Linked DNA regions of Alligator mississippiensis. The protein of the gene in region 1 binds, or shares a complex with, the protein of each later gene. Links are inferred from orthologs where the notes say so. Each region holds a gene or a part of one and is shown in the gene's direction. Other genes may lie near its edges. The genes, in order: PIGA, PIGY, PIGP and DPM2.

Region 1 (6,896 bases):
AACACTTATCAGTGTAAATCTGAGCAAAGGAGTGGCAATAAGTTTCTTCTCACTGAAGGTTTAATGTCAGGGCTCAGGGCAGTGAAAAGAATTCAGGATGATGGCTGACGATGAAACCTTTTTCTGGGAAAGAAGGTAATTCATCACAAGAGCACAGGAAAGAATGATTTTATTATAACTGTAGTCACAAGTCGAGCAACATTCTATCCAAGGGACCTTCATCCCAGCAGGGGAGATGAGTGCCCAGGTTGGCAAATACTGCAGGGTTTAAAACAAAGTTCCTGGAAGTCAGGAATATGGACAAAAGAAGATAGAACATGGCACATTTCACAGCATGTGAACACCCAGAGTGTAGAAATGGTCTATGTGGTCTTTGTTGAGCTAGAAAAACCATTGGGCCCCTTCCCTAAGAAAATCCTTTGGGGGAAATGGAGGGAAAAGAAAGCACCAGAAAAACAAACTGACTTAGTAAAAGGAAAGTCCCTGGATGAGAAACTCTCTGGAAAGGAAAACAGGTTTTCCCTTGGCTCTTCAGATAAAAAGAAGTGGGCTATCACAGTGATGGGAATCTCATATGAAGAGGGGTTGTAGAAGGAGGACAAGAAAACATCTGAGAATAGCAGAGTGAGCTTGAGAGCACAGGTCTCCAAGTAAATCCAGCAAAGTCAGAGTCCATGTCTATGGAGATGAAGATGTTTTGAAAGATGTAGACAGAAGCTTCCAGTGACTCCTAGTGAAAAGTACTCGGGTTCCAGCAGGTACATGTACGTCACAGCAGAAGAAGCCAAGGAAATGCACAATCTATGTGTGGGAGCACCAGAGGCTGATAAGACTTCCATCACCTTCTGCTGGGGCATCAATGAATTGGAGATGATATGAAAATACTGGGAAGGCAAAGGAAGATCGTGTTGCTAAGAAATGGCTGAATAGGGAAGCATCAGGAGTCAAAGCATGGGGAAGACTTGGGTGAAGGCAGTTAAATGAAATGAAGGAGGATATATTAATGTGAAACATGAGAGGCCTCATAAATGACACAGCAGTGGGGAGGATGTGGATTTCAACCCCTGGCCTTGAGGATGAGATTTGAAAAACAGGGAGAAGACAATAAGCTTTAGAGCTCATGTGGCTCCAGAGAGAAACAAGGAGCAGAACTTTACCCAGGGAAATAAGAGCTTGGTAATTCCTCAGCTTCTAGTCCTGATAAAGCTCCTTGCCTTCATCATCCAGCAGCTCCCACTCCTCCAGCATGAAACCTCTGGGAGTTGCAAGCACAAGCATTGCACCATCAGTGTCTCCTGGGCCAGCTGCTTTCAGCCCCAACAGTCCTGTCTGCAATCATTCTGCACTACAGCTATTTCCAAGCTTGGTCGTGACAGGCAGTGGTGCAAAGCTCCCCATCATTCAGCTGATGTGCGATTGGGGATTCAGCCGTGGATGCAGGAGTTCATGTATCTGCCCTGGCCCAGCTTATTCCCTTCTATTTCCTCAGTCTATGGAAGAAGCGCTGGTCCCATGGACTCTGCCCAGGCCTTCCTGTGCCAGTACCTCTGGCCATTGGCCCTTGGCAGTGAGCTCCGGCTAATGACTGCTTGGTGCGTCTGCAGCCTCTGACATCAGAGGCTTGTCACTCTGCAGGTCGCTCCGCTCCACACTCTTCCCTGCACTCCTGGTTCTTCCTGGCTCTGCCCCAGGTGCACCTGGTGCCCTGCTCACCTCCAGGCTCTCCCTCGGCTGCCAAGGCCTGCACCGCCCCTTCTGCACTGAACCCGGCTCAAGGGGCAGGGAGCCCCTCTCTCCCAGGCTCCCTGGGGATGTCCTCTGCAGCACACAGGCCCTTCCTCACCAGGCTGCTGCTCAGCTCTGCTCAGGGTCCTGGCCCCTGCAGGTGGGGAACACAGTGCACAGGTTAGCCCTGGCTCTGCGGGCAGTGGGGAGCCCTGCTACTTTTCTGTCCTGGCTTGGGACTAAGGCAGTCAGAGGCCTCAGCACATGGGAGACAGGGGAGAAAGAAGACTCAAAGCCCCACAGTTCTTGCTAATGGGCCTCCGCAGGCTTGGAGCTGGGGATGAGCCCCGAGTGACTTTGTCGCAGTGCGGGGTAGGATCACAGCACCATGGCAGAGCTGGCAGGGACATCGCTCCCTGGGACACAAGCTCCAGGGACCTTAGTATTGTGTCAGCATCCAGCTTGTAAGGGCAGGGGAGGGAAATGCAAAGTCCATCTTCTCCAGAGCATATGCAGGACTACCAGGGCACGGGGAGGAAAGGAACAGCTGATCTGGTGTAGCAGACCTCATCAAATGTCCTGGCAGACTTCTCCACTGATGGAAGGTGCCTGCTGCTACTAGGAAGGGTAGAGCCACTGCTCCATCCCAGCCCTGGGGGAAGGGCCTGGTCTAGGGCACCAGCCTAAGGCACCTTTATCAACTGATGATTCCCAAGTCTCGGTTTTGGGGCAGTTGGCAGTAGGACAGAGGCTTGGCATGAGCTGGACCTGAACCAGGCGGATATCCCTGGGGAATCTCATTTCCCGACATGCACCCCAGCCCCTTTGTGGGCACATGTGGCATGAGAAAGGGGGCAGGGAGCACTGATTGCAGGAACATGAATTAGGTCCTTGACTGTTCTCATGGCAGCATGACAAGCCCCCCCCCCCCCGGGCAAAGCCTCTCTCTTTTGGGTGCTGCACATATGCAGGCAGAAAGACCAGAGCCCAGCCTGGAAGCTGCTACCACAGAGGCAAGAGCTCTGTGCCACCCCAGAGTTACAAATACGGTGGCCCTGTTGCAGCCGGTGCAGATGTTCGAGCCCCTCCCCCTGCACACAGGACAGCCCCTCAGGCACCCAGACCCCTGCTTCCAGTGTGTTTGCATCCAGTCCCATACCTGGCTCCTGCTCAGGCAGGGGCTCCTCTTCGGGGACACGAGGTAGCTTGTCCTGAGCCCCTGGGGTGCCCTTCTATCCTCCCTCCTTCAGAGCCATGTCTGTACCATAGGCCTTTGGCTGCTTCAGCCAGGACTCGGGTCCCTGCAGTGCCCTCCTGGGCTGCACCTTTTGGAGGACATCTCAACCACCTTCACGCTCCTTGTGACCTGGGGACAAGAGCCATGCATCACTGGGAGCTGGGAGAGAACAGCCCCCAGATGTACAGAGATGGGGACAGCAGCATGCAGGGGTACACACTCTGTCCTGGGGCTTCTTGCCCGCTGCCTGCTGCAGCTGACACCCCCGGGGCCAGGCGTGGCACCAGCACAAGCCTCCATACTGCACTGCCCACCCCCAGCCCTGCATTTCCTGGGCCAGGAGTCCCAGGACCTGCTCCCGCACCACCATGCCCAGCTCCAGAACATGCTCCCTGCCAGGCACTGGGGCCCAGCCAGCATTGCGGTGCCAACGTCCCACAGCCCCTTGCCCTGTTGGCAGCGGGAGCTCTAGCGCCAGGTCTCTGGGGCGGGAGGTCATCTGCCGGGGCAGCTGCATGGTCGGGGGCATATTTCCAGTACCAAAAAAAGGGGTGGGGGGCAGAGAGGGAGGGGAGAAATATATGATTATGGGAGGGGGGGCAATTATATGCCCTGCCCCTCACTCCTAAGCGACAGCCCTGCTAGTGCTCCTCACTCTTGACCCACAGCCCTCTTCTCCCCCTAGCCTGGCAGGTGCCCCTCGCTCCCGCCCCGCATCCCCCTGCTGCCCCGCCCCCCCAGCTGGGAACCCTACTGGCGAAGAAACGGTTAAAAGAACGGGCAGTCACTCCCGACTCCCGACGTCACTCCCTTCCTTCCCTTCGCCGATAATGGCGGGCGGGTCCCATTGGCCGCCCGGCCCCGTGCCCGCCCTACACATCCGGCGCTGGGAAGGGAAGGGCGGTTACTCGGGCGACAGGAGTGGTCTTGAGCGCGCGTGCTCGAACCGCTTCTCACCCGGAAGTGGGGGCCAGTCGCGTGCGATGGGAGCCGGCAAGTGCGTAACGCCGTCCCTCTCCCTCTACCAACCGTCCCCTTCCCCTTCCAGCGGGGCCGTTCGGTTCGGTACGGCTGCGCCGCGGTGGACTGAACCACTTGGCAGCGTTCGCCAGGGTGTGGGTGGACTCGTCCGCGGGGGCACAGGAGTGACCCATTCCCGCCTGTGAGCGGGGCCCTCGTGCTAGGGGGACTCCAGGATCCCCCTTCATGTAGCCCCCGTCTCAGCCCTGTCCAAAGTGCCCCGAGACCTGTCCCCCGACTGGACTACAGGGGCAGGGCATCAATGCTGGGGGAGCAAATTGTATCGCTGCAAGTCCGCCCCGGAGCAGGGCGGGAAATCGCCTTCCTTGGAGGCTGCTTTGGGCAGGCCTGTTGGCTGGTTTGGAGGGCGCCCAGCAAGGAGAACCACGGGCACCTGGGGGAGGGGCTGGTGCTTTAATTAGAGTTCTTTAACAAGAGCCGCTCTAATGAAAGCACCGCTACATCTCGTGTATTGGTGTCTACGCGTGTCAACATGGCAGCGGGGGTGCTTGAACTCAAGCTCATTGAACCAGCTTTCTTGGGTGCGCCCCCGCTGCAGTTTGGAAGTGGGGGGACTCTGATACATGAGACGCAGCGGTGCTTTGACAACATCTCTGCACTGCGGAATGGCCCCGAGGGCGCTTGAACTGAAGTTTGTGCAATGAGCTCGAGGTCAAGAGCCCCTGCTGCTGTTTGGAAGCGTGGGGACACCGATGCATGAGATGTGGCAGGCTAAGGGGCCCCACAATTGCCACGCTCCAAACAAGATGGGGACAAATAATACTAAAGAAGAAAGGGATGGGAATGCTAGTCAGAGCTTAGTAACAAGAGTGCCAAAGGGAAACGCCAAACAGAGCACACTGGGCAGCACCCACAGGCCCTTGAACGAGTCCAAGGAGTCAGTGGACACTTCCTAGTTAAGCTCTTCCCAGAGATGTAAGTGGATGAGGGACAGAAAACTGACCCCAAAGCCCCTGGTGGAGGTCTTCCTGGCCAGGGCCTCCTTCCCAGTCAGATGGATCGTGAGCTTGGCTAAGGGCAGGAGGAGGTTGACCAGGATATCCTGGGGCTTGGTGGGGCTGTAGATGGGGAGCATGTAAATGAAAACATGCAGAGAGAAATGCAGCCAGAGTTTCTTCAGGCAGGACTCGAGGACCTCAGGAGGTCTGTGCCAGCCTGGCTGCTCTAACCTCTGTGACTTTCATCTTCCTCCACCTGGGAGAGTTGAGAAAAAGCACCTCCTGTGCCACGGCAGGGGGCAGGGGTTTGACCAGCTGCCCCTCAACGTTCTTTCCAACCCTATGATTTTGTAGTTGCACGACCTGTAACAAAACCAACTGGTTTTGTTTAAATGTCTCGTATTGTAGTCATAGATGGTTTCACTGTAGAAAGCATGACATTGTCTTGCCAAGGCATCTGCAAATATAGATTTGTTTGTTGGGGGAGGTTATTTTGTATTTTGTTTTGTGCTTTTGTTTAATTTTATCGGAAACTCCCTTTGGAGTTGATGAATAATATGAACGCTGATTACATGCCTGGAACCTCTGGTGTAAGCATATAGTGTAGAAACTCAGTCACTCCCTAGGTTGTGTTCTTTTATTTCCTTTTCCCCTTCCAAGTAGGGACTTTGCCCTTGTTACACAGTCTAATGTTCTTTGGGAAGTGCTGTGTGGCTGTGAGAGTGCTTCGCAGAATGAGAATGCTTCACACGGTTATGCAGCTTTCGTGGCAAAGCAGCAAAGTTCACTGGTGACTAGCTGATCCATCCTGCGGATTATCCCCCGTTCTCTATTCCAGTGTTGTGGTGTCTTCACAGAATAGCTGCAGCAGGGGATCTAGTCTTCTGCCTTCCTCCTGACACTTCTTTTGGTTGGTTGGTTGTTTTTAATCTCCTTTGTTTAGGGCTTGTGGATTGAGGGGAGGGAATCACAGCGAGCCTCAGAAATGAGAGTACTTCCCTCACCCAACAAACGTTATATTTTACTTGCTATATTTTTATTGAAAATGTGTCAAGGCCAGGATGTGCCTAGGGAAGCCAGCGCATTCTACTGTACTTGTAACTGAACAAACATTTTTACTTTGCGTGGGACTTCTCAAAAGCTAGTGCCAACCTTGAAGAAACAAATGGTTATGATGCTATATCATGAATGTCCTGGTGGAAATAACAGTCTTGAACTGTGTGCTATTTTATTTGTGTCCATAATTATTTTCTTTTTTCTCCTTTCAGATTTGAGCCTGCTTTTTACCTATATACTACGAATAGCTACTGGAAGGACTGACTGTTAAACTTGTTCCAAGTATGGCTTGCAGAAAAATAGGAGATCAGGAGCAGTCTCTCACTACTGCTTTCTCTGTTGTTAACTGTGGGAGACCCCCAGCATGGGGCATTCGAACGCACAGTATATGCATGGTATCTGACTTTTTTTACCCAAACATGGGAGGAGTGGAAAGTCACATCTACCAGCTGTCACAGTGCCTGATTGAAAGAGGGCACAAAGTTATAATTGTCACTCATGCGTATGGAAATAGAAAAGGCATTCGTTATCTCACCAATGGTCTGAAGGTATATTACTTGCCTTTGAAGGTCATGTACAATCAATCTACTGCAACAACACTCTTCCACAGTCTACCTTTGCTCAGGTACATCTTTGTGCGAGAGAGAGTCACCATAATCCACTCCCATAGTTCATTTTCTGCCATGGCTCATGATGCACTCTTTCATGCCAAGACAATGGGCTTACGGACAGTTTTTACAGACCATTCTCTCTTTGGATTTGCTGATGTCAGTTCAATACTCACAAACAAACTCCTAACGGTGTCACTGTGTGATACAAATCACATCATTTGTGTCTCTTATACTAGCAAGGAAAATACTGTACTAAGAGCAGCACTGGATCCTGAGATCGTGTCTGTC
Region 2 (5,865 bases), on another chromosome or scaffold:
ATACCAAGCCAAAGAGAAGCTTTGAGTTTCACCTGGAGTGGCTAGGATGGGGTAAAGGGGAGGTTTGGAGCCCTACAGAAGAAGACAGAATTCAAGACCTGAAGGATCATCTCAGGGTATTGCCTCCTATTAACAGTACCAACAAAGCTGTGGCAGGCGAGAAAAGTAAGATCAGTCTCCTGGCAGACCAGGTGATCCGAGATAAAGGTCCATCCTGTCACCGCCGGTGGGTAAATGAAATCTTGGCAGTGGCAGTAAGCCCTACAATATCTACAGTTGTCACACTGTCCTACCCCAGGGCACAGGAGGCAATTCCACCAACAGAGCCAGAGGACCCCAACTCCTGCCTGAGTCTCCATCTCTCAGCACATGGGTTCCCAGGCTTCTGTCTGGCTGACCTCAATTTAGATTCAGCCATATCTACAACAGTACATTTACCAGGCTCCAGAGCCACATCCTCAGGCAGGCTGCACTGCTCCAGGTGGCCACATTTGCTGAGTATTTCAGGCTAACTAATTAGTACTGTTAAGCGATGTTGCCAATTCACTTGCTATTCCCTAACTAGCCTGCCTGTGGCACTGAACAGATGCAGCTATAGTGTTTCCAGTCTAGGGAACAAGCTGTTCAGAGCAGCACAGCATGCTTGAGGGGCACTTTGGAGCACAGGAAGTCACTGCTTAGACTGAACCTGGTGGAGTACTGATACCTGCATTAATTAACTTGGTAATGTTTTACGCCCACGTGCAAATGTGTACACAAGGAACAAGCCTGCACTGTGGCTTGCTGTGCAAATTCCTGCTTAAAGGATAAGCAGGATTCTGATTTTGTTTCCAAAGCTGTTGGATCTTTCTGGAGGAGAAGAACAGGTTGGAGACACTGGCCATTCCAGAAAACTAAAGAAACATTACTGTAAATGCCTACAAAGTTAACCTTAAATATTACTTTATAAATGGTGTGATGCCATCTATTGGAAACTACAGGTACTAGCACATTTTAATTTGATGTACTAAATACTCAGCATTTTAAATTGGTCTGTTATATATTATACTGTGCCATGACCATGTGAGTTGTATTTTTTTTACTCTACTGCACAAAACTTTGTACTCCTAGAATGTGAGTTGCTGAATACAGTTAGACCTCCTTCTTGTTGTTATGGGAATAAGAATAACTCACTTGTTCTTTTGGTAGTGTCAGAGCGATATTGTAGTCATGAAGGTACAGAAATGATAAAACTATAAAAATGTATAAGCTGGCTGGACACTAAGAACCAAGGACTAAACATTGATATCAGACTTATGGCACATAATATTTTATCATTAAAGATGAATTAGGAAATCTTACAGAAGACTGATAGTGTGTGTAGCAGTCACATAAGCCAAAAAGTCTAAAAGAATGCAAGGATATTTCCTCACAGACGTCTTTAATACATTCAGGTAGCATCTCTCCCTATACTATGCATACCTTTCCCTATTCAGTCCATCTTGATGTGACTAATGGTCCTGGATTTTTTGAGACAGTCCTAAGTTTCAGGACTATGCTCTGGCATCCCCTGTGATTCCCTGAACTGGGACTTTCATCTCAAATATGAAAAAAATTGTCCTGGACTGAGGCCAGGCAGCATCCTAATCAAAACCAGCATTTGCAAACTGCACAATTGCACATACTCCCAAAACACATTCACTGCTGCCAGTTTCACAGATGTTAACAGCCACCTGTGCTGCTTCAGGGACCCTGGCCCAGATTTCACTCCTTCAAAGTTAGTTGCTTTAATTTCTCTCAGTCATGATCTATGTGCATCACTTCTAGAGTGTTTTTTATTCTACCCCCCCCTCCTCCTATATTTCCCAACTCCAGCTGGACACTGACCAAGAAACATTCAAGCAATTGCTGGATCAGGGGGCATAGGTTGACCCTGTTCCAGGAGTCCTGCAAGTATTTATGACACAGGGTTGGCCAGGAGGGAGTTAGGAACTTACGATGAATATCAAAACTGCAGGAATAGTCTCCAGCCCCTCAGAAGCCTGCCATGCCCTTGAGCATGCATCACACAAGCAGGCCTGCTTGGGAACTTTTCAGCTGCGGTTTTCCCTGGAGACATTCAGATCCTGGCCCCAGCCACGCTGCAGGAATAGCATAGAATTATAGAGAAGTCAGGCTGGATGGCGCTTTCCAACTCCCTAGTCCAGTGGTTTTCAACTTTTTTTTGTTTGAGGACCCCTAAAACAATTTGAATGAAAATGCAGACCCCTTTGGACATTTCAAATGATGGTGAGGACCCCTTTAAATTGTAAGTGTGGCTATTCACATACTTTTGATTGATCAGTCATCTTTCACGGACCCATCAGACATAGTCTGTGGACCACAGGTTGAAAACCACTGCCTAATCTAACCATCTAGTCCAATCCCCTGCCTGAGACAAGAACCATTCTATCCCCTGCCCTATCCAAACCATTCTATACAAATCCATAACCTAAACTCTTTGTAAAACTACCATCAACCCTGACACAACACAAGACATAACACAATAACCTGCCGTGGATAAAAAAGGGGGATCATGGCAGCCAATGTCCTGCTTCTATAAAAGGTTGTTAATATACACTCAAGAGATTCCAGATAGAGCCCCCCACCCCCCAGGGGTACAAAGGAAGGCAACCCCCCCACAGTCAGTACCAGTCTGAGCATGGGGTAAAATTCCGTCCTGCCCCCAACTAAGGTGATCAGTCTGAGGGGCATGACTCTTTAGCCAGGAACCTCCAGCTTTAAGTTCCTGCAGGAGTACTGGCACACCTCAAAGTCCCCAGTCTTGGCTGCAGCCAGTAACCAATGCCTCTGAGAAAGACTTAAAAAAACCCGGCCCTCACATGTAGCAGAAAGGGAGTGGGGGAGGTCACAGGGAATTCCCTCCTACCCCATGTGGCAACCAGCAAAGCCCAGAAGCATGAACATAGTAGAACATACAATAGAACATAGTATAGACAGTCACTGAGAAGGAGATGGGCTCCACCTAGTCAAGGTTCATTTATGCTCAACCTTTCTGCCCCATGGTCCAGATGGGCTGGGCTTGGTTTGTCCATGGGCTGGATCTGGATGGTGGACCCGATCCAGTGGGAGAAGTAGGTCCTGGCCACATGGAAGGGAACAAGGGGGGCATCATTGCCATGATCCAGCCATGCAGGATGAGGGAGCATAACCCAGCCCTGATCTGGCCACATGGGTCTCCAGAACTTGGCATGGGAGAGGGGTTGCAATGTTAATTGCCACTGCGCCCTCACCACCAACCTCCCTGACCCTTGTGGAGCTGTATGGGCTGGATGCCATGACTCCATGGGCCACATTCAGCCGACTGGCTAGGAGCCGAGCACCCCAATCTAGTGCAATTCCCAACCAAGGGGCCACGAGCTCCTTTTGAGGGTGGTGTGTGGGACCTTGCCATGCCAGCACTAAGAGGCATTCAAGCACCATTCATGAGATAAACCCAGGGATGTCAAATAGGTATCTGCCACTGTGGCCTCCCGAGCTCTTGACTACAGGAAAAAACCCAACCCTCCTCTTATTTTTCTGTAGGCATAAGAAGAGAGCTGCGATTTTCCAAGGTGATCCAAAAAAAGACTGAGCCCCACTGATCGAACCCTGCTGCCTCCAGCACAGTGCCCCAGGGGCTGGGAGTGGGTGCTTCTTAATGTGAGGAATGCTGACATCAGAAAATACCAGTATGTGGGTAGCTTCCCAACTAACACGGGAGCATGACCTTTTGCATATGCAAAATCCATCCCGTCTGGACGTGAAAGCAGCTGCTTGTGCCTCTGCTCCCCGCCGCGAACGCTTCAACTCCGACATTCCTGACTTCACACCTTTATTCACTGGGAATCAAAGGGAAAACATGACCGAAGCCGCCGGACTCAAAAGTCCAGGCCAGCACCGTGCAGACTCAGGGCAGGGCCTTCCTCCGTAAACACCTGTAGGTCTCGTTTCAAAGCCGCTCTGAAACAGAACTGCAGAGCTGGGCCCTTGGCGGGAGAGAGCCGGGCCCTGTCAGCCTGCAGCCCGGAACACCTCAGGGAGAGACACAGAGAGAACACCCCCCCCCCCGCCAAGCCCAGGTACCAGATGAAGTGAACGGGCGCGGGTGGTGGGGGTGTACACACGGCCCCTCCCCCCGGAACCCAAGCGCGGGGCGGTGCGCGGGCGGAGCGGGTTCCCAGCGCGCAGGAAGTGGCGCGAGCAGGCGGGCGGAAGTCGCTGCGCGTGGGACGATGCTGGGCCGGGCTGCGGCGCTGCGCAGGGGGTTGCAGGTGGCGGCGGGCGGGACGCGTGGGCCGGACAGCGGCCGGGGCTCTGCGCAGCCCGCCAGGCTGGACCCCGCGCTGCTGGGGCTGCTCGTGTGCCCGCTGTCCAAGCGCCCGCTCCGGTACGCACTTGTGTGAACCCACGCACACACATATGCACACAGGTGTGCAGGGACTCTCCTCCTTGAATCCGCAGCCCTGACCTGTTCGTTTTTCACGCAGGTATGAAGAATCCACCAACGAGCTGATCAACGAGGAGCTGGGCATTGCCTACCCGGTGGTGGACGGCATCCCTAACATGATACCGCAGGTGGCGAGGAAGATAGAGGCCGAGCCCCCTCACCCCACTGGCGAGGAGTCAAAGCAAAGCTAGATAGTGCTGTCCCAGAGAGCAAAGCTAGAGACTGAGAGGCTCATGTGTGAGCAGTAGTCATGTTCCTGTCACTGCCTACACTGACAGTGCTTGTCCCGCTGCTGTCCTTGGTTGGCTTGTTTTATTCGGCCACCATGGATGAAAACTTCCCACAGGGCTGCACCAGCACCAGCAGCTTATGTTTCTACAGTCTGCTGCTTCCTGTTACGATCCCCGTGTACGTGTTCTTCCACCTGTGGACCTGGATGGGCATTAAACTTTTTAGACACAACTAAGGCAGGCAGACAGCCCGAGGGCACTGCCCAGTGAGCTCATCAATCACAGGGCCTCTGTGCTAGTTGTGTAGCTTATCTTAGCTGTACACTAATATTATATTCCATGTAACTGGGATAGTCTCTTCCTCCCTTGCTCTCTCTCAATAATGATGACCTTTATCACCCTCTTCCTGGCACTTCACAATGATCTACAGAGGACTTTGTGTATGACTGCTTAATTTCTGCCAGGAAAGATAATTAAGTACATTTGTCCTTGCCCCTCAAAATCCAGAGGTGCACTGTAGTAGTGTGAAAGCATATTACAGTGGGTGTTTGTCTTTGCCCTGAATGACTCCATCTACTGACTGAGATACAGTTTAATTACTTACTCAGGTTGTTAATAATAAACAGTAATGTGGGCTGCTCTTTAAAGATGGCAGTGTCTGTCTTTAGGTGCGTTGCTAGGTTGAACAGATTTATTCATGAAATGCTTCTGGCACTGTGCTATGAAAATGCAGTGTAATCAAAACACTGTGCAACAGCAAACTTGTCTGTGCAAAGATTTTTTTAAATCCATGTGAGCTTTAGACTTGTTAGGATCACTGCAGCCATGTTTTGAGGGTAGTCATCCATGCACATCCAACACAGCACACCTTTTTAGAAAAAAAACCAAGGTGGGGTATCCATGTCACTCTAATATGATTTCCTTCTAGATCAGCAGGTCTGGCACAATTATTCAGGCAAGAAGTGCCATGAAATAGTAGTTTGGCAGCTGCTTTAATTTATTCCAACTGGCAGTGGCCTGTAACAGCTGACAATAAGGCAATAGGCTCAAAAATGCCTTCTAACACTCCCCCTTGCTAGCTTTACATTGACTGAGGAGATGCAGTACTGAGAACAAGTCAGGATTGGGACGCTGACCCACTGAAGTACCCACTGCTCTAGGCAAAAA
Region 3 (7,906 bases), about 28 Mb from region 1:
CTGACAACAAGGTTTAATGCAGCCACCATAAAAAGCAATGCCAGCAAACTCTGAGTCAGGTAGAGATTTTTCCATGGTTCATGATCCTAGAAAGCAAAGCCAAAATATATGAAAAAAAATCACCTGTTATGCCCCTTTGACAGGGTTTAGAATGGCTGCAAGATTAAGTTATAGCACGTTTCATAACGTGTTCCCACACCATACCTATCATTTGAAAGCCATAAAAACCAGGGGGGGATGTTCCAATTAATAGCAAAGTAACCAAAGTATCTGAACATTTTGTATGAAAGTTAAAAAAGTATCAGACAATAAGTACCAGTCCACAGTAACAATCTTACAGAATTTTGGTCTGTGATTAGGGTGTAAACATGCTATGATTATAGCTAGTAACAGTGAAATGCCTGGCATTATCTAATAGTGTAAGAATGATGTTGTAGCCATGGTAGTTCAGAAATTATACAAGAGGCAAAGATTTCTTAGGGTGATATCTTTTATTGGACCAACTATGTAGTTGGGTAAAGTTAGACAAGCTTTTGAATTTAAGACATTCTCTCTCAGGTCTGATCATAAGGCCTGGCTCCCTGTGATCAGACCTGGGAGAGAATGTCTTGCACTCAAAAGCTTGTCTAAATTTATCCCAACTACATAGCTGGTCTAATAAAAGATATCATCCTAAGAAATCCTTGCCTCTAGCATTTCCTAGAAATTTTAATCCGGAAAAGAAATAGAGTGAGTAAAGGGATTTTCACACATTGAAAGAGAACAGCTTTAATCATGAAGAATCTATGCTACAAGTTATTCTGTGGTTTGACATAAAATTTCTACCTGCTCACCCATCCACCCCCCATCCCAAATCAGTCTGCAATACTGTGGAGTGAGGTCCATTGCCAGCGACAAGACGACCTTCGGGAAAAATACTGGGCTGAGGGATTGCAGGGAAAGGATGAGTGCAAGATCCCCAGAGGAAAAATTTAACAAAATATCGTGGAAAGCTGTCCACATAACACTGAACTAGTTCACAGAGCAACAGTTCAAAATAATACCTGCTTATCTCAATATACTTTTGAAACATTTTAGGAAGGTTAAGCTGTTCTAAACTGGCTTGTATGTCCAGATGCTTGCAGTTCAAACCACATTTTAAACGGTCTGTGTCTGTCAGTACCTTTTATAACCCTACACGCAATGCAACAAAAATTCCAGTTAGTAAAATACTTAATGAGAAATACAGGCTGTTCCTGAACCTAATGAAAACTAAATACAAGTATACTCATTCAGGGCACCTACAGGAGCCCACCTACTCTGACACAGGCTAATTAGCATGTGTCGGAACATGGGTCAGACACCTGTGTAGGTGCCCTGAATAAGTTCACTTGCATTTAGTATGGAGTCTGCTGGAGCATGCTAATTAGAGCTGGAGCTAGTCAGTGTGTGCTAATTAAGGCTCAATTAATGGAGCTGGATTAATTGAGTCTGCTGGAGTGTGTCTATTAGGTTGTCACATGTATTCAGAGTTCCCATACTTCAAAATGGTGGCAGGAGCCATGCTGAATATATAACATGATGTGGGTGTTTTAATGAGAGCGGCTCTCAGGAGTCACTTAATTAAAGTGCCCCCCCACCCCAGCGCATGTAAAGATGCCCTCAATGACTGACAACAGGATGCAAGTAAACATTAGGAATAAAAAACCAACCTGTAAAAGCATTAGATAAATTTATCTGGGGTTGTATATACCCAGGAGACCCCCTCTACCCATCCCTGCATAACTATCCCTTAAACTATAAGTACCATAACTGTTTACACAACACCACAGTGGATTTGATTTAAATCGTATCAATTTAAATCATGGCTGAAATCACAGGACAGGAAGCCTCAATTTAATCATTGTTTTCTACAAAAAGTGCATCCTTGTTGTTTGATATCCATTGTTTGAACAATGCTTCTTTGGGATAGTTCCCTTTATAGAGCGCGCGCGCGCACGAGAGCGCGCTTCCAGTTCCGCGTGTGGGAAAAGTAGTGGCCTAGAGATAGCAAAAAGTATGGTATACCACTGAATGAGGTTCTAGCTCATTCGAGTGCCAATCATATGGAAAGAAGTGCCTCTTTAAAGGTGTCTCAGTCTCAGTGTAGATTTCAGAACTGGTGTTGGCACTGGTGTGACAGCTTCTGGGTTGCTCTTGCCCCTTCTCTGCATTACCAGTACCCTTGCTCTCATCGCTTAACATTGCGACACTTAAAAGATTTTTCTTGGCTTGAGTTCACCTTATGGATGAACATGTCATATGCTCCAAGATGCACCTCAGACTTGGTACAGGTATATCACCTAGCACCTAAGGCCAACAGCACAGGATTCCTTTCCCGGGGTCAGCATCAATATTGCCTGTACCAATGTTACTCTAGTCAGAACTGCAGACCCTAGTATCAGAGCCAAAAGTATTGAGGGTTTTTTTTGTTTAATTTTCTCCTTTCTAAGATCAGGTATAATGCCTGCTTGCCAGAGCACTTTTTAAAGATATCCTCCAAGCAAGAACTGTGGACACTGCTTCCTGTACCAGACTAAATATGACCTTCACGAACTACTCCAAGGAGTGTGCATCACAAACCTCGTGTCTCTCAAGCAGCAGACAGAGCACTTGTTAGAGATGTACTTTTCTCTGAGGCAGAAAAAGATGTTTCCTGTGTCCACTGATAAGAGTAAAAAGGTCATCACAGGAAGGATAAGTTAAACTCCATGGTTTACAGGCCATGACACAGGAACAGCTGGTCACCCTACTGGCTTTTTTTTTTCCTGGATGTTCCATAGCAATTTTTGAATGAGAATTTAAAAAGAGGTCAACAGCTGTTTCTTCATAAACACCAAGTTCTCAGCTCAAGAAAAACAGAAACCCATGAGATACAGCCAAGGAGTTCTGTTGCTAACACTGGCAGTAAAATCACCCTGAGAGAAGGTGAAATCAACTCTGCTACCTACTCACAAGAGAGCATGAGGTGATAAAGATGATAAAGCCACAACAATTCAAAAAATTCCAAACTCATTCATGTGAGGGGCTTGCAAACCAACAGCAGACAAAGCTACTTGAACAACATGCTGTTCTGGTTCAGAAAAGATGTGAACATTTTCTCCCCCTCAGGCCCCTCCTCTGTGCTCACTTCCCCCCTCCCCCGAGTGGCTGGCCTCCCTCTCTGCCTACATTTTTCTCAGTTTGGCCTGGATCAGCAGGCTATAACACTTCCTGTTTAACAAAAAGCTGATCTGGGTTACAGAATCCTTTTCAGGAACCCATAACCAATGCAAAAAGCCAGAGTGGCTCAAGACAGCTTCTCAAAAAGCAGCATAATCTACTTTGCTCATCAAAATCTAGCAAGAGGCATTAAAATAAAAACAGCAAGGGAGAAGGTATTTCTCACTTAAACCCATCCTGGCACTAAGGTTGTTGGCTGTAGCCGTATTGGTCTAAGAACACAGGCAGACAAGGTTCTTTGGGTAGATGTGATCTCTTTTATTTGACCAACTAGATAGCTGGAAAAACTGCATTTAACCAGCTAGACAAGGCTCGATCTTTGGCTCAATCTGATGTCTTTTATTAGATCAACTTAAATAGTTGGAAAAACTTTTCTTAGCAAGCTTTTAGGTTTAAACCCTTCATCAGGTAAACACCATTTTACCAGCTACAATTATCACCAGGTCAACATTCCCCCTCCCCCAACCACCCTCCTGTCTCCCATTGTCATTCACACCTATTGTCTCCCATTCTCTCTGATCCTCCCTGCCAGGCATTTGCATTTGCACAGACCTGCTATCTGCACACTGGCTTCTCTTCTACCCAGGACAGCACACAAACACCAACAGACTCTCCCCATGCCTGAAGAAGGCTGCTTGTGCCCGACAGCTTGCAAAGAACAGTTTTGCAGGGTATTTAGTCGATCTAATAAAAGATAATCACATCTACACAAAGAAACTTTGGCCCTCACCGTTTTGCAAGATGCTGAATCGTATGGGGGGGAGGGGGAGAGGGGGAAGGATGCCCTGCCCCTTCAGCAGCTGCCTCTGCTAACCACAAACAGCTGTAGCCTGCAATCACCCCCACCACCAACTGCCCTTTAACCAGCACGGTACACCCCCTCACGCAAATCCCGGGGGAATTGTGCAATCCAGACCGGCCACACAGGCGAAGCCACCCATCGCACCCTAAAAACATCAGCCCGGCTCCCCAAACCGGGTTTGTAGAGGCCTAGTGACTAGAAGTAGCTTCCAACCATCTTTCACGCCAAGGCTTGCGGAAGCACCCGAGACCACAGGACCTCGGAGCCTCCGCCTGACCCGAGCAGCCCCTGCCTGCCTTCCTCCACGTGGCAAATGGGCTCCCCCACAGCCACGGGGCGTGGGGGCTGTAGCCAGATCCCACCTCAGCCTCGGCCCGGGCCCCAGCCCTGCGCGAAGCCAACACAACGTGAGGGGGGGGGAAGAGAGACAGGAAATGACAAACCGCCGCCCGCGGGACCCCTACTCACCGGCTCAAGGCTGAGACTCCCAGCAGCCGCTGCACCGCCGCTTCCCGCCCGCGCCGCCGTAAGGGACGGGTGGGGCTCCCGCGGCGCAGCACAACAACTCCGCCCCAGGCGCACGGACCCCTTCCCGCCACCCTATTGGCTGCCCGACTTCTGACGTCAGGAACGTAAAGCATCGATCTTCGCAGCGCCCCCGGGCTAAGGGGGGCGGGGTGGAATTGTGTTAGGTTTCACTCGCCTACGCAAAGGGCCAACCGCGGTTGTTCGCGCGAGAGGAGGGGGGAAAAAAAAGGCGGGGGAGGGTTCGGTTCTCTCGCGCATGCGCGGGTGGTGACGACACTTCTGTAAGGCGGTGAACAGAGGCAGCGGCAGGACGCTTATAGGCAGGGCATAACGGGCTGGGGTGACGTAGCCGATGTTACCAGCCGATTGGACGCGGGACGGCGCCTGCGCAGCGGCCTCCCCACCCTTTCTCCTTCGTCAGCTGGCTTCGACCCGAGGTGGTGACGTCAGTCCCCCGCGCGGAGGCGGGACCGGGCCGCCATGGTAGAGAACTCGCCGTCGCCGCTGCCCGAGCGCGCGCTCTACGGCTTCGTGCTCTTTCTCGCCGCTCAGTTCGGCTTCAGTAGGTGCCGCGGGGAGGCGAGGGCGGGGCCCGGCCGGGCAGACGCGGCCGGAGCTGGCCCCGCAGGGCCGGCGTTGCCGGGTGCACGATAATTATTCGGTTTCTCCGATAATTGGAACCCTTGTACGATGAGCACTCAGTAATGGTAATAAGCGTATTCAAAATGTCCGATCGTTTTTGAGGTAGCGGATGGATGCAGCAGATGCAAAACCCATGTCACTGTCGGGGAATTGTAAGTGATGTTTGGGTTCACTGTCAGCGCTCGCCTTACAATAAAGAAATGCTTCAACTTTTGACTTATTGGCGACTTACAGTGAGCAATATGAAGTAAAGAAGAAGGCTTATTTGCATATTTGTCACTGTACAATAGTTTTTCAGCAAATATGATAATTTACTATTTAGGACCTGGCAATGCTGTCCAGGACAACCCCAAGCTTTGCTTGGCCAGGCGGGCCCAGGTGCAAGCCCAGCTGGGTCTAGTCTGTGGCCCCTGTTTCAGCCACCTCTCCCTCCATGGTCCTCCCGCTCAGAGGGAGGAGGGTCTCTGTTGCTGAAATCGCCCCTTGCCCTGCCAGACTGCCTGCCTTAAGCCAGCCTCAGGTGCCCCGGTGAAGAGTGGTGCCTTGGACCTGCCTCTACACTTTATGCATGACCAGGACCTTGTTCCTCTGCTGCTGGGGTTTGCTGTTGGATAGATCAGGCAAAGCTGGGTCAAGATTGGGGAAGCCACATCTGAAGTCCTGCATCCAGTTTTGGGCCCCTGCTGCAGAAAGTAGATGGACAAGTTGGAGAGAGTCCAGCAGAGGGCAACAAAAATGGGTCAGAGGTTGGAGCACAGGACTTGTGAGGAGAAGCTGAGGGAATTAGGCTTATTTAGTCTGGAGAAGAGAAGACTGAGGGAAACTTGATAGCAGCCTTCAGCTACCTGAAAAGAGGTTTGAAAGAGGATAGAGCTTGACTGTTCTCAGTGGTGACAGATGACAGAACAAGGAGCACCAGTCTCAAGGTTCAGCAAGGGAAGTTTAGGTTAGATATTAGGAAAAACTCTCTCAGTAGGAGGGCAGTAAAACTTTGGAACAGGTTACCCAGAGAGGCGGTGGAAGCTCCATCCTTGGAGGTTTATAAGACCCGGCTAGACGAAGCTTTGGCTGGGATGATCTATTTGAGGGTGGTCCTGCTGTGAGCAGGGGGGTTGAACTAGATGATCTGTGGTCCCTTCCAGCCCTAATTTTCTATGATTCTATGAATCAACCCTTGTCTCTTTTTTTAGCTTTAAAGACTAATTTGGAGACCTATGAGATGTTACTCAAGTAGTTCTCAACCATGGGCTACTGTGACCCCTTTAGGAATGCTGCTGGAGTGTCATGCAAAGGTAGCACTCTTAGGTGCATGCACATGATTACCAAGATAAACCCAGTGACTTCAGACAGTAATCCAATGCATTTAAAATCATTCTGCCCCTGTTGTGGGCTTTCTGAGCTCTCTGCAGGAGAAGACTTGCTCAGTTGTCTTTCTGTAATTAAGAAAGGAGTAAAAGCTCAGCGTTGACATTTTCCAAGGGGTGCCTTGAGTCTAAATGGATGCAGGGGAGGGTGCCTCAAGTCTAAAAAAGGTTGAGAACTGCTAGGCTACTTCATAGCATCTGCCAAAATAAACTGTTGCCCTTGAAAGCCCAGGTTAGTTTCTGAGGCGCTGCCCTGCCTTCTACAAAGAGTTGTGTGCATGATGCTGTTTGTGGGGTTGTCCTTCTCCCTGATATTTTGGACATGCTGGTTAGAGGCTAGCGAAGCTCAAAAGGAGTAGTCAAATTTGTGGGTGATGAAACTGTTAACTGTTATTAGAGCAATTGGAGGTGTATCCTCTGGCATCTCTAAACCAATGATGGTAGATGCCAGGGATAGGATGTCTATCACGCCAGACCAGGCTGGTCAAAACGTTGAACATCAAGTGGATCACAACTCTGCCCACCTCTAGACCATACTGTTGCCGCCACAGGATCCTGGCCCTAGAGCAGCTCCCATCCTGCCACACACCCTGCCAGCACTACTGGGGCCAGTCTCCATGGAAACCCTGGTCACACACTGTCATAGGCCCACAGCTGCTGGGATCTCCACGGAAATGGGCCACAGCATGCTGGAAAATAGAATCCAGCCACCGGCTAGATCCACCATTTTGCCCACCTCTGCTTTAGACATACCTGTTCCAGCCTTTAGATTTATCCCTCTAAAGCATCCACTCCTTTATCCATCAGAGGCAAGATACGAGTCATTGGACTAACCCAATATGGCATTTATGGTCTAGTAAGGCCTTATGGGAACTACTGCTGTAGAGCAAGTTGTCATTCATTATTTGAATGATTTCTAATGACACTACTGTAAGTGCTTAGAACTGGGGGGTTTTTTAATTCTGAAATAATGTTTATTTTACCATTGTGATCAAAATACTAACTTCACTTCTTCTGTACAGTGCTATACCTTGTGTGGGCATATGTTCCTGAATCCTGGTTATTCTCATTGGGACTAACATACTGGCCTCAAAAGTAGGTTCAAATCATTTAGTTTATAAAACTATCCTTGTAAAAATACTTGATAGTCTTTGAACCTTTTTTTTTCAAATAACAAAACTAGAAATGTACCAGTGCTATTTATGTAGCATAATAGGTCTTGCATTTCATCCAGTTTGAAAAAGAAGACTTACTATTGTTCCTCTGACAGACAACTGGAGTATTTTTGCAAAAACTACCCTCCACAAATAATAATTTGCCCTGAAAAATT
Region 4 (7,513 bases), on another chromosome or scaffold:
GCTACTAATAAAGTTACCTAATGGCCCTAGGGGTTAATACTGATCAGCTAAATGTAACTGTATTCTTCAGGGCTGCTGCTAAGGGCTGATGATGTTAGCTGAACTGCCTCCAGCTGTTGCTTAGGTTTGTTCAGCAGCTTAAATTCAAGCTGCAGCCCAAGCCTGGACACTTGTCAAGGTTTAACCAAGTCCCTGCCATTGATGTGGCCAGTTGCAGACACATCTGCAGGAATTCAAAGCATAGGTGTCCCCACAAAGGGTGCTGTGAGGCTCCTGCCTGCTTTCTCAGCTTTTTCTACATCAACGTTTTGTTCAAGCATTTCAAGGCTGCATTTGAGGAGCCAGCTTGGGCAAGTCTTGGGCCTGTCTGCAGTGATGTGAAGGCTCAGGTAGCCTGGGGCAGGGATGAAGGCCCAACTCCCAGAGTCTGCTCCTGTCTGCTGTGTAGGAGGTGGCCGGTCTTGGGTGACAGTGCTTTTGAAGCAGGGCTCTATCTTCTTGCATGGTTCTTGCAATCATCAAAACCCGCTAAATAAGTCTCTGCATCTGAGCTCCTCTGGAGTTCATGCTTTCCATGCGGTTTCCTTCCAGTGAGCTGACCTTAACCCTTTCTCTAAAACTTGTGGCACTTTGGTGGGAAACAACAACTTCTTAGGAAGTGGGAGGCTTGTTTTCTCACTCATGTGCCCTTGAGGGAGGGATGAGCAAAACCACAGGCAGTCCCATGAGAATTCAGGCCTTGGTCCTGCCTCTTTGAGGGTTAGAAAATAAGTGGAGAGCAGATTGGTGCTACCAAACTAGGGAGCATCTCTTTCCACAGGTCCCATTGTTGCTGCTGCTCGCAGAAAGACAAATGTTTAGTACTGACTGATGGGAAGCTGAAACACTTCTCCCCCACACCCTGAACTCTGGAGCCTTTGGCCGTAACTATGTACATCAGATCTCTGTTGCTGGCACTGGGGTGGCACCTAGAAACCCTAGCCAGGACCAGGGGCAAAAGCTAAACAGAAAGATGGTTCCTACTCCGAAGAGCTTCTAAGCATGATATGGGCCACAGGTGGGGCAGGGGTAGATGGGGTGCAGGGCTGGCTGCTGGCTTCTTATCCTATGCTGTCCCCTTGGCTTACATATGGGGAGGGGATGGAATAGAGACATTCACACCTGACCTGTGGCCACTCGCACACGGTGCCGTGTTTTGTCAGGACTCTTGCACTCTGGTGTTTTCCACCATCTGCTGTGGTTTTATTCCCCTGCCTGGTACCCTGAGCAATTCCTTACCCCTGGGTCTAATGCCACCACCTGGAGCATCCCAGCTGGAGCATCCCCTGGATGTCGGTGCTCTGTCTGCAGCACCAGCCCCATAAGCAATTCCAGAGGTGTAAGTGTAAAGTATGGAGCTGGCGAAATCTGCCCCAGCCACCTGTGAACCACAGCAAGGGAAACTAGGCGTTTTGGTCTAACAGCTGAGCTGCCCCAGCCTTGCTGAAGGGGGAACCTCTTTTCAGACTCTGCTGCCTGCTGGGTGAGCTGGAATCTGGCTGGGTTTTGCCATCCAGCCAGTAATGGTGTTGCAGGACCTGCATTGGAGCCGCTGCTCAGGGGTGATGGGGATCCTGGCAACCCTGTGCATGGGGAGGAGGGCATAGAAGCCTGTGGCCAGAGATGCTTTGGTGAAAAGGAAAGCAAAGTACTGCCCAACTCCTTGTGCAGTGAGCACCAGCCAGGCCAGGCCGTGTGCACAGCCAGGCCAGGACTCTGGGGAGAAGCGATGCGTGATCTCAGAACTTAAGGTGAGTGTCCAGGGGCAATGAAGATGGCTTGCTCAAAGTGCCCCATTTCCCAGGTCCTGAGTGCTTGCCCTTGCACGTCTCATGTGCTGCTTTTTCTGTAGCTTTCTTGTGTGTAACTGAATCTAAGTGGACTACGGTCCAGGCCTCCCAGTCTGCAGCTGGGTCTCTTGGCTCACTCCAACCATTTGCAATATGGAAAATCCCCATACAGACATGCCTTGCCCAAGACTGGCCAGCTCCCTGGGTCATCTCATCATTTCCCACCCAGATGCCAGCAGAAAGTGAATCACAGACTGCTCTGGATCTAAGCAGATCTTATGAGCGAAGGGAAAGTGCTTCTATTGTTCCCCAGAGAATGTGGCTTCTGCTGTACCTTCGTGGAGGTTGGGGCTAAAGTTCCGGCTTAGAGGACAGAAGGTAGAGGGCTACAGCTGCACTGAGCAGGTCTGCTATGACCTGGGCAGGACCCATGTCCTTGGCCTGGCAGCTGCTGGGGCAGGCACAGGGGCTCTGAATAAAAATCACCAGTTTGTGTGGGCTGGCATGGTTGGAGATGCAAGAGGCAAAATGCAAGGATCTGCAGTTGAAATGAGCCAGAGTCTTTGAGGGGCTGCTGGGCTGGGCTGGAGACAGACCAGGGGGAGTGTTAGCACCACCTAGGGAGAGTGGCTGCTGCCCCCACACAAGAACCTGTCCCAGTCCCACCCCAGCACGTCCCAGAGGAATCCCGGAGCAGCTTCCAATGCCTTGGAGGCCCTAAAAGCCTCCCTCATAGCCCTGAATTGGTCTCTGCCCCTGCATCCCTACCCCCAAATGTGGTGATCCTTTGCTTTATGCTCCTTGGCCCCCACAGGGGTTGGGTGACCCTGATGTGCCTTTGAACTGTGTACAGCAGTCTGTCTATGTGTGTGCAGAACCTGCCTCTGCACTGGTAAGCACAGACCCAAAAGCTAAAAAGAGCCAAGACTGAAGAACTGGGAGATCCAAGGGGAAGGGCAGGAGCCCCAAGACGTGACCACCCCCATTGTCCTGCAGGAAAACGCAAGTATAGCCCTGCATGGCTCCTAGGGGCAGAGCTCCAAACCGGAGCATTTCCCTGGCTCTGCAGACCCCAAGGTGAACCAGCCCCTTGAGACGCTCTGTCTTCCACCTTGGCCATGCAGGGGCATCCACTGCCAGGATAATTGCCACATCCTACCCTGATGGACAGGCTTATTCCAGATTTAAAGTCTTCAGCTGGGGAATTCCAGTGTTTTATCTCATGCAGTGTGATCAGGGTGGCAAGCTTCCTGACGTAGACACTCTGCCCCCAGCACAGCATCTCCTTACCGTAATAAGTAACAGTGAGAACGTGTGTAGCATTGCTGTAATTGAGTTTGTTGTTCTCGTCAGCCATGGCCAACATAGTGGGTGGCTTTACCGTGGGAGCTAGGGGCCCTGCAAGAGGAAACGGAGGGCTGGGCAGGGTGGAGCCGGATTCTTTCCAGAACTGCTCGGCTCCTGCCTGCGTCACAAATTCTTTCTCAAATTTCCTGCATGCTGCCCTACCCCCGCTCCCCCCAGCCACGTTGGAGGATTTTACGTGTATGTTGTGAACAGATCGAGGGAACATTTTCAAAAGCACCTAAGTGATTAAGGATGCCAAGCCCCACTGATTTTCACCTCTGCAAGTCGCTTCTGCAAATAGGTCTGCACTGGGGTTCCTGAGAAACCTCTCCAGCGGGACGCAGCCCCGCTCCTGCCTGTTGGCTGTAACAAACCTCTGGCTTTGTTGACTGTCTCTGAATGGGTGTTTTCTGCTCCCTTCACTGTGGCTGAGCTCAGTTTGGCTCCCGAGCAGCTGGGCTTCCTCCTTGCTTGACTATTCAACACATGGCCATCACTGGATCATGCCAGTGAAGCTGATGGGCTCTGAACAAGGCCAAGACCTCCTGCCCCCTGTGCACCAGGACCTTCCTTGGAGGCTCCTTGGCCGTCCCCTTCTCCACAAGGCAGGGGCAGAGGCTCACCTGGATACCCCCGCTCGCCCCACTGAACAAGCAGCAGCCCAGGGGCAGCACGTGGGCTTAGCCCATCCTGCTCGGGGAAACGGGAGACGAGAGCGGGGAGGCGCATGGCTGGGGGCTGTGGCTCTGCTGGGCCTGACCTGGTGGGAGGAGGGCAGAGGGGAACAAGGAGCGCGGGGCTGGGTTGTAGGGTCCCCTTTGCGCCCACGGAGCCGCCCCAGGGCTGAACCCCACCCTCTGCGGGTGCACGGGTTGGGCTAGCGGAGCTCCAGCCTGGCCGGCTCACGAGGCTCCGTCCTGCGAAGGGCTGGACACGGGCATAGGCAAATTACAGAAAGGGGAATATTTTTTCCTTTGTGCAATTATTATTCTCATGCTCTCTGGCAAATTGGGGCCCGATACTAAAAGGTTTTCCAGGCAGGGCCACCCAGGGTGCAGGTGCCGAGCTGGCTGCACTCCCTGCATCGCTGCCACCTGCCAGCGGCCCTCGCTTGCAGCAGGACAGCTCCCTACCCCCCATGGCAGCCAAGGGGTTAAGCCTGGGGACTACATCTCCCATCAGGCCCCGCGCCAGGCGGGACTACGGCTCCCATGAAGCTTTGCGAAAGAGGGGACGGGCGCCTCCCGTCATGCCCCGGGGAAAGGAAAGGCTCGCGGATGATGTCTCCCGTGGTGCAATGCGGCTGGGGTCAGCTCCCGTCGTGCTCCGGGGCCGAAATCCCGGCCGTGGATTGGGCAGCGGCTCCCGGAAGTGGGCGGGGCGGTGGTAGGGGGGTCGGCGCAGCGCGTGGCCATGGTGAGGGCGGCCGGGCCGGGCCGGGCCGGGCCGGGCCAGGCCAGGGAGGGGGGTCGGGGCTCGGGGCGGGCCCGCTCTGACCGCCTCTACTCTCCCGCCCACAGGCCACGGCGACGGACCGGCTGGTGGGCTTCGGGCTGGTGGCCTTCAGCCTCGCGCTCTTCACCTACTACACGATCTGGATCGTGGCGCTGGTACGGGCCCGGCGGGAGGGGCTGCCCCGGGCCTTGCCTGTCCCCCCCCCCCCCCCCCGCGCGTGGGGGGCGCGGGGCACGAGCTGGCAGCGCTGGAGGGGCCGAGGGGTCACCGCCTCACCCCGCGTTGGGCTTCCTAGTCAGGGGGAAGCAAGAGCTGCCACAGGCGCCCGCCTTGGCCGTCGCTGGCAGCTCCAAATAGCCCCCGGCCGGCTCGGGGGCTTCAGATAGGGGCCGCGCTCCCATCGCCGCGCGCTTCTGGGGTCCCCCGTTTCCTGGGTCGAGTGAGCAGCGACTGAGCCGATCGCAGTCCTGGAAAGCCTCACAGACGCGTAGGGAATTGGGCGAGGAGCATCGTGGGGTGGAAAACTGTCCAGCGCTTTATTTTTCCGTGGGAAATTTTCCATTTCTAAAAATTCATCGTTTCCTAAAATTCGTTAGTAACAACGAAGGGATGCCAATGCCCTGTTAGGCAAGCTCGGCAGTGTCAAAGTTGTCATTCGCGTGTTTCGGGTGATTATCCCTAGGAAGTGTGAGAGAGAGTACATATGTTTTATTGATGTGTAAATACACTCACATAATCCTCCAATCCAGAAATCAAGTTATGAATTCACCTGATTGGCTGTGCAGGTCAAATCTAAACCAAGTCATGGCATCTCATGCACAGTTTTTGGGTGTGCTAAAATTAGTGTGTCAACATTTTTCAGTGCCTCCACTGTCTTTTCTTAAATTTAAACAATGTAAGGGAAGTACGTGCTGTTGTATATTGCCTTTACATTTTTACAAGTATGCCAATAAAAGTAATTTTTTTTCCACATCAAAGCTCTGCTTTGAATTTGTTTGAATGTAACATTTAAATCACATTAAGTGTGTTGTAGTTAATTTTTTTTTAATTAAATATTCCAGTTAAAATACTTGTGGCTGTCGAGACATAAAATTAACATGGGGTGTTTTTTTAGTTTTGCTTACTGATATACATCAAATAAACGTGTTAAATCAGATCACGCTCTATTTAGGGCATTGGAAAAATTTCCAGAAAATTTTCCAATTCAAAATTTTGTGGAAAACCCACATCTCTGGTGAGGAAGCGTCTCTTTGAGCCTGCAAGGCCAGTCTGGAGACTTGCTTCAGTTTGCTTGGCATGTGGATCCCTGACAGCTCCTGGCCGTGCTGTGAATGGTGCTCACTTCTGACATCCTCTCAGCTCGTTGTTCTGCGGCTGCAAACTCAGTATGGTTGGGTTTTTTTCATTGTCCCTATGCCTTGCTGTCAGCCCACGTGCTGCTCTGTAACGCTCAGTCTGTTCTAAGTTCTGTGAAAGATGATCTTTGCCTTGTGTCTAAAACAAGGCAAATATTGTCTCTGTTTTGCCCAGTGAAGCATGGGAGACGCTCACCAGGTTGAGCAGGTTGTTCAGTGCCAGGCAGCTAGTCAGAAATCAAGACAAGCTTTGGAGGGGTGAGTTCGTGGCCCCTTGGCTCTATTCTCTATCCATCAGCATCATTGTTAACTGTCAGTCTTAAGGCTTGTACTTCTGTCCCTACAAGCAGGAATGTCTGAGTGCTGGCAAGTAGCTGCATATTGCCCCAGCTTGCTGATGCCCCTCTTTGTTTCTTGCAGCCCTTCATTGATAGCAATCACGGGATTCACAAATACTTCTTGCCCAGGGAATATTCTGTTACCATTCCTGTGGTTGCAGGGCTCCTGCTGCTGCTGTTCATAGGTGAGTAACATTTCTCTTCTGTTTTGGGATCAGAAATCTGTTATAGAAGCTGGTTGGTCACTGTTGGCCCAGCTACTTGGAAGCAATTGCCACGTGACCTCTCTTACAGCCCTGCCTACTCCAGCTGTGAGCTCCTGCACAGTGGAGCTGCCCTGGTCTCATCCTGTGAAGTGGTTCTGTTCCGCATAGCAATGGTGTTTAGAAAGCTGTAGTACTTATAGGGTTTTTGGCCATTTTCTTCACATTTTTTCTTTCTCTCTCTCAGGGACTTTCATAGTGATTGTGATGTGGAAGAACAAGAAACCTGCCAAGAAATTGAACTGAAGACAGTGGGCATGGGAATGGGCGCAGGTTCCTACCTGCAGTGTCTTGATGGGGCCAAGACTTTGACCTGCAGTAACAGGTGGCCATTTCCTCCCGCAACCAAAGACTCTTTGTGTTATAGCCTGGATGCTGGGCCTCACCATGCTCTTGGCACTTCCTACCTTGCAGAGCACATCCAGCCATTTGATCAAATGAAAGAGAAACTGGCTGAATATCATACACATCCAGACAGGGACCAGAGCCTCGGCTTTAGTGAAACTACCTCAGCTCGGGCTGACCAGGACAGACTGACAGCTCGGGCTGACCAGGACAGCTGACAGCTCGGGACTCTGCAGTCGGGGAGCTCTGTGCAGCCTCCACTTGCCCTGTGTTAAGGGGAGAAGGCAGCACTAGTGAGCAGAACAAATAGCTGGCTGCCTGGCTCCATTGGATCTCTGCCTCTGGCAACACCTCTTGCTCTGTTGCTTTATTTTTTGTCCTTCAAGTGTTTATTTTAGAGTTTACAAATCAGATCTATTATGTGAAAAACCAAGAGATTGTGGACCAAGGCTGGTAGCTAGGGACAGATTCTCTTCTTACTTGCCTGTAGTGGGTGCAGCAAACCTTGTTTTGTGCTAATGGTAGTCATAGCACTAGGAGGGTTGCACGGAGCTCACCCAGGCTCTCTGGCTGCATCTTAG

Evidence for each region.
Region 2: PIGA (region 1) and PIGY share a complex: the UniProt entries of both Homo sapiens proteins name them as parts of the glycosylphosphatidylinositol-N-acetylglucosaminyltransferase (GPI-GnT) complex. The link is inferred for Alligator mississippiensis from reciprocal best matches to the Homo sapiens genes PIGA and PIGY.
Region 3: PIGA (region 1) and PIGP share a complex: the UniProt entries of both Homo sapiens proteins name them as parts of the glycosylphosphatidylinositol-N-acetylglucosaminyltransferase (GPI-GnT) complex. The link is inferred for Alligator mississippiensis from reciprocal best matches to the Homo sapiens genes PIGA and PIGP.
Region 4: PIGA (region 1) and DPM2 share a complex: the UniProt entries of both Homo sapiens proteins name them as parts of the glycosylphosphatidylinositol-N-acetylglucosaminyltransferase (GPI-GnT) complex. The link is inferred for Alligator mississippiensis from reciprocal best matches to the Homo sapiens genes PIGA and DPM2.

What each region holds. Positions count from the first base shown.
Region 1 is NC_081824.1:322,975,244-322,982,139, forward strand, and holds the start of PIGA (phosphatidylinositol N-acetylglucosaminyltransferase subunit A), read left to right. Parts: upstream 1-3,873; 5' UTR 3,874-3,959; intron 3,960-3,968; exon of another isoform or gene 3,969-5,851; intron 5,852-6,209; 5' UTR 6,210-6,281; coding exon 6,282-6,896. UniProt on the Homo sapiens protein: Catalytic subunit of the glycosylphosphatidylinositol-N-acetylglucosaminyltransferase (GPI-GnT) complex that catalyzes the transfer of N-acetylglucosamine from UDP-N-acetylglucosamine to phosphatidylinositol and participates in the first step of GPI biosynthesis.
Region 2 is NC_081825.1:151,545,330-151,551,194, reverse strand, and holds PIGY (phosphatidylinositol N-acetylglucosaminyltransferase subunit Y), read left to right. Parts: upstream 1-4,659; 5' UTR 4,660-4,718; coding exon 4,719-4,934; 3' UTR 4,935-5,345; downstream 5,346-5,865. Other genes in the region: PYURF (protein preY, mitochondrial), read left to right, coding at 4,254-4,408, 4,509-4,659. UniProt on the Homo sapiens protein: Part of the glycosylphosphatidylinositol-N-acetylglucosaminyltransferase (GPI-GnT) complex that catalyzes the transfer of N-acetylglucosamine from UDP-N-acetylglucosamine to phosphatidylinositol and participates in the first step of GPI biosynthesis.
Region 3 is NC_081824.1:295,040,209-295,048,114, reverse strand, and holds the start of PIGP (phosphatidylinositol N-acetylglucosaminyltransferase subunit P), read left to right. Parts: upstream 1-4,902; 5' UTR 4,903-5,050; coding exon 5,051-5,132; intron 5,133-5,138; exon of another isoform or gene 5,139-5,321; coding exon of another isoform or gene 5,322-5,364; intron 5,365-6,402; exon of another isoform or gene 6,403-6,455; coding exon of another isoform or gene 6,456-6,504; intron 6,505-7,598; coding exon 7,599-7,671; intron 7,672-7,906. Other genes in the region: E3 ubiquitin-protein ligase TTC3, read right to left, coding at 1-75. UniProt on the Homo sapiens protein: Part of the glycosylphosphatidylinositol-N-acetylglucosaminyltransferase (GPI-GnT) complex that catalyzes the transfer of N-acetylglucosamine from UDP-N-acetylglucosamine to phosphatidylinositol and participates in the first step of GPI biosynthesis.
Region 4 is NC_081835.1:57,214,444-57,221,956, forward strand, and holds the start of DPM2 (dolichol phosphate-mannose biosynthesis regulatory protein), read left to right. Parts: upstream 1-4,490; 5' UTR 4,491-4,589; coding exon 4,590-4,592; intron 4,593-4,696; coding exon 4,697-4,786; intron 4,787-6,406; coding exon 6,407-6,509; intron 6,510-6,774; coding exon 6,775-6,833; 3' UTR 6,834-7,513. UniProt on the Homo sapiens protein: Regulates the biosynthesis of dolichol phosphate-mannose. Regulatory subunit of the dolichol-phosphate mannose (DPM) synthase complex; essential for the ER localization and stable expression of DPM1.